Linked DNA regions of Cricetulus griseus. The protein of the gene in region 1 purifies or fractionates together with the protein of each later gene. This does not show direct contact. Links are inferred from orthologs where the notes say so. Each region holds a gene or a part of one and is shown on either strand. Other genes may lie near its edges.

What was found. Proteins that work in one complex are often made in the same cells at the same time.
Region 2: the proteins of Cdc42bpb (region 1) and Fam167a purify together in Homo sapiens (co-immunoprecipitation; 3 studies listed by BioGRID and IntAct, counting the BioPlex papers as one, with this or other methods). This does not show direct contact. The link is inferred for Cricetulus griseus from reciprocal best matches to the Homo sapiens genes CDC42BPB and FAM167A.

What each region holds. Positions count from the first base shown.
Region 1 is NC_048598.1:182,637,187-182,641,342, forward strand, and holds the start of Cdc42bpb (serine/threonine-protein kinase MRCK beta), read left to right. Parts: upstream 1-1,356; 5' UTR 1,357-1,614; coding exon 1,615-1,789; intron 1,790-4,156. UniProt on the Homo sapiens protein: Serine/threonine-protein kinase which is an important downstream effector of CDC42 and plays a role in the regulation of cytoskeleton reorganization and cell migration. Regulates actin cytoskeletal reorganization via phosphorylation of PPP1R12C and MYL9/MLC2.
Region 2 is NW_023276807.1:218,479,222-218,483,268, reverse strand, and holds the start of Fam167a (protein FAM167A), read right to left. Parts: upstream 2,810-4,047; 5' UTR 2,721-2,809; exon of another isoform or gene 2,545-2,720; intron 478-2,544; 5' UTR 94-477; coding exon 1-93.

The sequences.
Region 1 (4,156 bases):
AAACTGAGGAACAGAAATTGTTTATTAATTTGCTTTTGTTCCCAAGCTAGGGAGCAAGCCCCATAATGACACATTGCTTCAAGTTCAGAGGAAGCCTAGAGTATACCTGGGTCCCATCTGTTTCAGGGGTGTAAGGCAATGCGGGAACAGATCTAGGATAAACAGACACACTAGAGGTAGCTGCGAGAGGCACCGCAGATTGACACAGGCGGCGGGGGGGGGGCCGGGGGGGGGAGAGACAGGTACAAAGTTCTAACTTGGAGAGATTAAATGCTTCAGAGGCAAGCAACCAAAGAGAGGACCCAGGGGCTCCAGTGGGAGGGTCTGGAAGGCAGAAAGGGCCAGCCAGAGAAGACACTCTCTCATGGGGGACACACTTATGGGACAGAGAGGAAGCGTGGGTGCTGTCGGGAAAGAAATTCATTTGTCTGGCCACACTATTTTGGGTCTTTGTCCTACAAACAGTGCTCAGATTTCAGTTTTGGGTAGGGCGATTTTAAAAATTGGGCACCACACACGTGCGGTAACTAGTGAAATATACTATATATATGTACAGATCCCCTCGCAGTAATACTGCTCTCAAGAGGGTTCGCTCTACCCAACTTACTGTGCCGGGACATTTTGCCTGCGTTTTAAAAACTCAGACAGACACAGAGACACACACGCACGCACGCATGCTTGTGTAACCCCAACCAAGTCATTAAGGCTCCGGGGACCCTTCCTCCGGTCGCTTCCTGCGCTGGGGTCGCCATTCCGCGGTCGTCTTTCCATCCATCATTTTGCCCCAGGCTCCACTCATTCCGGCTTCCAGACCCCACTGGCCCCGTTGAACCCTAAGCCCTGACCCTGGGGTCCACAAAGGGCGCCTCCTCCTCTGCGGAGGCCGGGGATGCTCTACATGGACCGTTTCAGCCGCCCGCTGTCGCCTGGAGACAAGCGTCTGCCCCGCACCGGGCCGACACCCTAATGACCACTCAGGGTGGGGCAGGGTGGGTGGGTGGGGTGGGGGTGGAATCCCAACCGTCGGGGCCGCTGGTTCTGCGGGTCCCGGGGCGCGTGCCCGGCGGGCGAGCGCGCGGCCAGCGGACCCCGGGGCCTCCCGGCAGGTGCCCCGCCCGCGTCTCGCGTGCGCACGGGCACAGGGCTCGGTCGAGCTCGGACGCGACGACCGAGACCCAGCAGAGCGGCCCCCAGGGCGGCGCCAGGCAGCCGCCGGCGGGTCGGTCGGTCCGGACCACGAGTCGTCGGGCACTCGCGTGCCGGAGCGCCGCTGGGATCCGGGGCACACGCTCTCGGCTCTGCGCTGGCTGCGCGGGCTCGCTCGCGTCGGCGACGGCGCGCGAGGCGCGCGAGGCGCGGGCGCGGGCGGGACGGCGTGCGGGCGGCGCCTAGGGGAGGAGACCGGCCCATGGACCCGCGGGGCCCGGCGCCCCAGACTCGGTGCCGCCGGGACGGAGCCCAAGATGTCGGCCTAGGCCCGGCCGCGACGACGGGGACTTGGCGGCTCCTGGACGCCGGGGCGCGCGGCCGCTGGGCCGGGGGGTGCTGGCCCTGACGCCGGGGGCGCACGGGCGGCGAGAGGCCGGCGCGTGGGGAGCGGGGCCGCGCGGCACCATGTCGGCCAAGGTGCGGCTCAAGAAGCTGGAGCAGCTGCTCCTGGACGGGCCGTGGCGCAATGAGAGCGCCCTGAGCGTGGAGACGCTGCTGGACGTGCTGGTGTGCCTCTACACCGAGTGCAGCCACTCGGCGCTGCGCCGCGACAAGTACGTGGCCGAGTTCCTCGACTGGGGTGAGTACCGTCCTGCGCTCCCCCCCGCTCCCGGCCATCGCCCCGGCCGCTTCCTAGACCCACCCTCCGAGTCTGGAGATCATTTCCTGCAGCGCTCCCTGGGACATCCGCCCGGCCTCCGCCCGGGACCAGCCTTTGGGGGGTCCCGAGCCGGGCCTGCGCTTACCCCTCCAGCCCGAAGCTCTGCCGGGTGGGAGGGCAGCCCCCGCCCGCCCGCGCCCGGTGGCCTGGGAGAGCATCGCCCCACAGCCCAGCCCCGGGGGCTCCACCCAGGTGACAGCCTGTCCACATCCCCGTGATGTCCAGGGCCTGAGCATCCCCTCGCCTTTAGCACCTCCAAACGCATTTTAATGCGAAAAGCTTGATTTCCAACCCACCGTGCAAGAGCAAATAGATACTCCCTCCCTCATCCCCGAATTAAAATCGTGTCAGACTCTTGTGATATTATTGGTGGTGGTGGTGGTGGTGATGGTGGGAGGCAACTGGAACTGTCCCTTAAAAACTTTTCTTCATCTGACCTTGGTATTCGGTTCATTTAGGGGTCGGATGCAGTAATCAGGTCGATGGATAGCCTTCAGTGTTTCATTAGGGCAAATGCTTGCTTAAGTCAGTCATTTATTGATAGGAGTTCCCAAGCCAGGTTAGAGACGCTTGCTTCAAACCTCCCTTACAGTCATTTCCCCTCAAGACCCCTCAGTTCCCTCACAAGGACTCGGTAGGAGGAAGTGAGGCTTAGTTAGGTTCAGGTCAAACTCGTAAATCTTACCCTCGGGTTGCTTTCGTCATTGGGCTAGGACTGTGCGGTTTGAACCAGTCGCTTCTAATCTTTGGGGCTGATAAGCTGATATTTACACGAGGAAACAAATGTGTTCCACATGGAGGCCTCCTCCTCTCACAGTGGTGACTGGGATCTAGAATTCTGTTTAGAACGCAAATTGCCATAGTCTTTAGAGGGCTTCCCTCAGGATGCTGTCCAGCGAGGTGTTGCTGCCTGTGCGTGAGAGCAGCTGCAGGAAGGACCCTGCCTCAGGACACTCTGGGGCTTTGTTGTGAAGGGCCTCTGCTCTTGGTTACACAGAGGGTTGAGCCCTTAGTCGAGCGTACTGGCTTTCCAGGGGAACTTTTATCAGTGACATGATTTCCAGTTGGGTAATTAACTGACTTCAGAGTTGCTTTGAAAACCAGGACTCTAGTGCATGCTGCAATCTGAGACTTGTCAATATTGTACTTGCCGTTCTTTTTTGAGCACTGGTTCTTGAAACCAGGCGGTTCCAGTCAGGTTCAGCTGGGTGCATAGCATGTGAATAGGGTAACGAGAGCAGGCAGCAGCACAGGGAAGAAGGCTGATTTCACTGATGAGGTGTGTTCCAGGTGTCCTTTGGCCTGGGACTCGCACAGTACCTCATGGGGATGGGCTGGAAGGCTGGGTGCTCACCACTGGGTGCCTCGGACTTCCCGGGAGGAAGCTTTCCTTGGCATGTGAAGAGGGCAGGTTTTGTAAGATCTGACCTTTCCAAATCTAAACAGAAGGTGTGTGCTATAATGTAAGCATAGTTTTAAAATTATGTTTTGGCCTTTGGAAATTGTGATTACAAATGGATTACCCTCTTAGCTCAGTTCCTGCATTGGTGTAAGCTCTAATTAGGAGCAAGCCTTGGGTGTGATGGCACACTGGTAATCCCAGCATTTGGGAAGCAGAGACAGGAAGATGAGGGCTTGAAGGTCAGCTTCAGCTACATGGTGAGTTTGAAGCCTGCACGGGCTACCTGAGAGACTGTCCCATAAACAACAACAAAAACCAAATGATAGAACAGATTGGTGCATTAAATATGAGGTAGAATTTTAATGAAGTAGTAACATGGTTTAGAGTGCCATGCGCCTTTATGTATATTCCTGTGTGTGCTGTTGTGACTTTGAGGTGGTGTGTCACCAGTAAAAGCACATGTGCAGTCATTTGGTGTGTTGGTGACAAGGCGAAGAATGGCCTTCCCATAAGACTGTTCACAGTGGAGGGGCTTCGGTTCAGGAAGCATCCGGCTTGTTGAGATTTGGGGCTCTTTGTTCTGCCTGTTTCGAGGTCTCTGACACATTGAAAGTGCAGAGAGCCAAGCCAGTCTCTTCCCCACCACACAAGAGTATCTGCTGACAATAGATAGGATTCTTGAGACTCAGCAAACAGCTGACTCAGCCCTTAAGAAACTTAAGGGAAACCTTTGAGGAAATTTGGGAAATAGAAGTAATAAAAAGCTTTTAAAATTTAAAGATTATTCCTGGCTCTCCGTGGCCACCGTGTTTGGGTTGGATGTATCACTGCAGCTTTCACTGTGGGGGCTCAACTTTACTTTTTTCCTCTGATTGTTTTTATCA
Region 2 (4,047 bases), on another chromosome or scaffold:
CAGGCTGAGGAGGTGGTCATCTGGAGGTGCGGCTGCCCCTGCTGGCCTGTCATTCTCACCCACTTCGTCCACTTGGATCCGGGGCACAGACATTCTCTAGTCTGCCCTTGTAGCCACACATGGGAGGTGGAGGAGGTCACTCAGGAGGCTTGCTGGGTAGCAAGGTCAAGTCCTGCTCAGCAAGGACCTCATACAGCAGTGGCCATGACTCCTGAAGGCATTGTTCGGATGGGAGTGAGTCTCACGGCTTGGCAGCACCTGGAGCCAAACAAGGCTGTGAAGTGTGCCTCTCTGAGCAGGTGTGGCTCAGGGTCTATGATTTGTCCCGTAATCCTGTGGGGCCATGTTTCACAGAAGGCAGGATCAGACAAGCGTCAGCAGGAATCTTTGGGGCGGCCTCCTCCGAGATCTATCTATGCTTGCCAGAGGTGTGCAGGTCGGAGGTGATGGGAATGCCCTCTTTGGGGGGAAGTAAGCCTGCAGGATGGAAAAGAATCATATCAGCCCTGGTCTCACCCCCCAAGATGGGAAACTGAGGTCCATGGACCGGGTTTCTACTTGCCAGTTCTTGGCAAGAAGTGAAGTAGTTTCACAGACTTCATGCAGAGCAATTGATTGAGTCAGATAGAGCTTTACCTTTTGTAAAACCACTCTACCTGTCTGAGCCCAGGGAAGCCCTTGCAGCAAGTTTAGATGCTTGATTTTAACACCCAATACACAGAGGAAGAATCCGAGTCTCCAAGAGGCCAAGTGACTCACCAAGATAGATCCCTCAGCAAGAAACAGGGGACAAAATCAGCTGGTCTGAATCTCAGGATATAGGTGTCTCCTCTGGGCCGGTCCTCAGAGGCAGCTGACTGGCCAAGTGGGACTCCGCACAGCCCCAGGACAGGTGTCTACTGCCCCTTAACCACCCTCACTCATCACAACCGCACCTTCCATCGGCACACAGCTTCCGGCTCCAACAACAACACCTGACCTCACCCCTTCAGAGGAAGCAAATAAAACGGCAGCCTGGGCAGGGAAGAAGCTGGCGGCTGGAGCTGGGCTGTGAAACTGAAGGAGACTCATGACTCACTCTTTTGGAAAGATGTTTCTCACGTTTACCTGGAGAGCCCACAGGGGAGCACCACCTTGCGAGGGATCTGGCTGTGCTCTGAGATGACCACCTTGGCTCTGGGGACGGGTGTAAGCCAAGACTCTTAGCCTATCTACAACAGTGTAGATAGAGAAGTTGCTGAGTGAGAAACAGACTCGAGCCTCCCAGCCTGAGCATCTCATGTCCGAGGAGATCTGGGCAAGGGCCCATCGGGGTAGGAGGCACATGACTTGAACTTGGGTTTGAAACATAGCTTTGCTGAGCTCTATACATGAACGAACTGAGGTGGGACCGGATCCAGGATAAGGCTCTGATGAAAAGCTATAGGCTCAGCCTCTTGGAGCACATGCTGCCCTTGTGTGGAAGGAGGAGGAAAGAGAGAGGTGTTTATTGACTTTGTGTGCCTTTGAAAACCCCTGACTTCATGGTGACACAAATCGGTCATGCTGCTTTTGTGCGGGCAGCATCCCCACATCCCCTAATCCCTGATGGTGATCTGCTTTCTATCTCCACACATTTTCTTCCTGAGAGTGCTCCATCATTCCCCCGCACAGGCTCAGCCCTCTTGCCGTTAGCATGGCACACTTGAGGTGTTTATCAGTATTTCATTCTACTTCATTTCTTGGCAAAGGGATGGAATACAATTTGTCTCTTCACCTGTTGAAATGCATGAAGCTGTTTCTGCATTTTAGGGATCATGAATAAAATCAGCTTAAGGGGTAAAGAAAAATACATATATTCCCGCTCAAAAAAATTAATTCAGGTGATACCTTATTGCAGTGACAGGTGGACAGAGATGAGGATTTAAGATGGGGGAGGTGCAGGAGCAAACTGGCAGGCTGGCCATTGAGGTGGGGGGAGGATGGTCCTCCTGACAGGCATGAAGAAGGTAAGAACACAGCTTTTTGCTCAGGACCACTCCTGCAAGTCTACGCTGCAGGGAGAGCTGACCAGAGCATCAGGGGCTGCTCTCCCCAGACTCCAAGCCTACCCTCCCTAGGACATCACTAGGGAATGAGGACATTCCACCCCACAGATAGCAGAGAAACCCAGTCTGATTTCTTGCCTTCTCTGGGCAAGTAACAGTACCTTGAGGGTCCTTGATCCCTCCCAAGTATTCTAAGCTCACTGTGTGGGCCCAGGGGCTTCCTCAGCAGCCACTCAGCTTCCCAGAAGCTCCAAGCACATAGCTAGGTAACCTTTAGAGATGCTGACCCTAGCTCTAGGCTGTCAGGCTAGCTGAGCCTCAGTCTGACTTTCTGTAAAAAGGGTTGATTGATACTATGCATCTATACCACGCATCTCTTCGTATATGCTCTCTGACTGTTAGCACGCTGGGAAGACACAGCAACTCTTGATATTCTGCCTCTCCAGATTCTTGTGATCAAACTTCTTCAGATCTCCCCACATATGAAAACCTGGGAGTGACTTCCTGGAGCCCCTCCCAGGCGCCTGCTGTCTGCTTTTTGTGCTGAGGTGCCAGCCTTCATTCTGAGTACACCCGGGGGCATCCGAACCCTAGAAAGCTTCCTTCCCCAGACAAGGGAGCTCTCGCCACACCCAGCAGAGCTTTTTGGAGAAAGTCCAGTTTGGACAGGCTGATGAGCAGCACCCTACTCACCAAGTCCTGGGAGGGACAACACAGGTGGGAAGGCCTTCCTACTCCTACGTGCTTCGCTGCAAAGGTGGGGGGGGAGGGGGGAGTGGAAGGGTGGCGGGGGGAAGTGGGAGGTGGGGGATAACGCTGCAAGGTCTCCTCTTGAGTCTCACTGTGTGGCTTTGTTTTAATTACTGTTTCTGACTCAGAGAAGGCCTGAAGAGGAGCTCAGTGAGATGACTCAGCCTAGGGGAACCTTTGATTCACTGCCTTCATGGTGCCTGTGAAGAACTGGGCACACTCTGGCTCTCTCCAGCCTCAGTCTCATCCAAGAAGCAAGCAGGAGAGCAGGGAGACAGGGAAGCACAGAGTTGGGGAAGGTGCGGTGCTTCCACGAGCTGGCTATAGGCCACTGCCAGCTGGGACCTGGGCACACAGTCAGTTTCTTTCTACCCAGCTCAGAGCTGGAAGGCAGCTGTCAGGTCTGTGTTCTGGACCTGTGGGTTGAGCCTCTCCATCCTCTTCTGAGATGTTGGTACAGCCAGAACTTGCACAATCTGCAGACTGGGCTCAGTGCAAAATGCAAACACTGGGATCTTCTTGGTTTTAAAAAGAAAAAGGTTCCTAAGCATTTCAGGGTGATAGCTGCAGGGTATTAACAAACTGAAGGTCTCTGTTAAGTGTGTAGGTCACTGAGGGGATCTGAGGCCTAACATGCAAGAGGCCTAGTTAAAACTACATTTAAAAGGTTGCAAAGTGGAGGGAACATACTGATGAGCCCACATTCACAGTTCCACCTCCACACTGAGCCGTCATCCATGGGCCCTTGACCTTTCCGGTGACCTGAATCATCTCTGCTCTTTCCAAACCTTCCCTTGGAAACCAAATGACCCAGGTGTCTGAAGAGGCCTGAGGGTTTCTTCCTTCCTCTATAACTAGGTGTAGGAGTTGGCCTGGAATGTTACCCACACAGGCCTGGGGAGGTGCCAGGAGAGAGGTTCACTCTCAACTGCCCACTTAGCTAACTCCATCCTGAGCTGGTAGCAAGTGCTGAATGGGTGTCTGTAACAGGTGCCAAATCTGGGGCAGCTTTTGGGTGGGCAGAATGGCAGAAGGGCCCTCCTGTCTTTCTTGATATACTAGGGTATTCTGGAGCCTGGGCTCAGGAAGACCCCTCTGACAGGCTGGGCAACAAGGCTTTTCAACTAACCTAGATTCTCCTGGAGCAGTAAGCACAGAGCAAAAGCAGAAAGCCAAAGGGCATCCTCAGACCTGGGGCTAGGACATCAGGAAAAAGGAGATCATCCCAGAATCCCACCAGGCTCGGGTATACTCCACATGACAGACACCC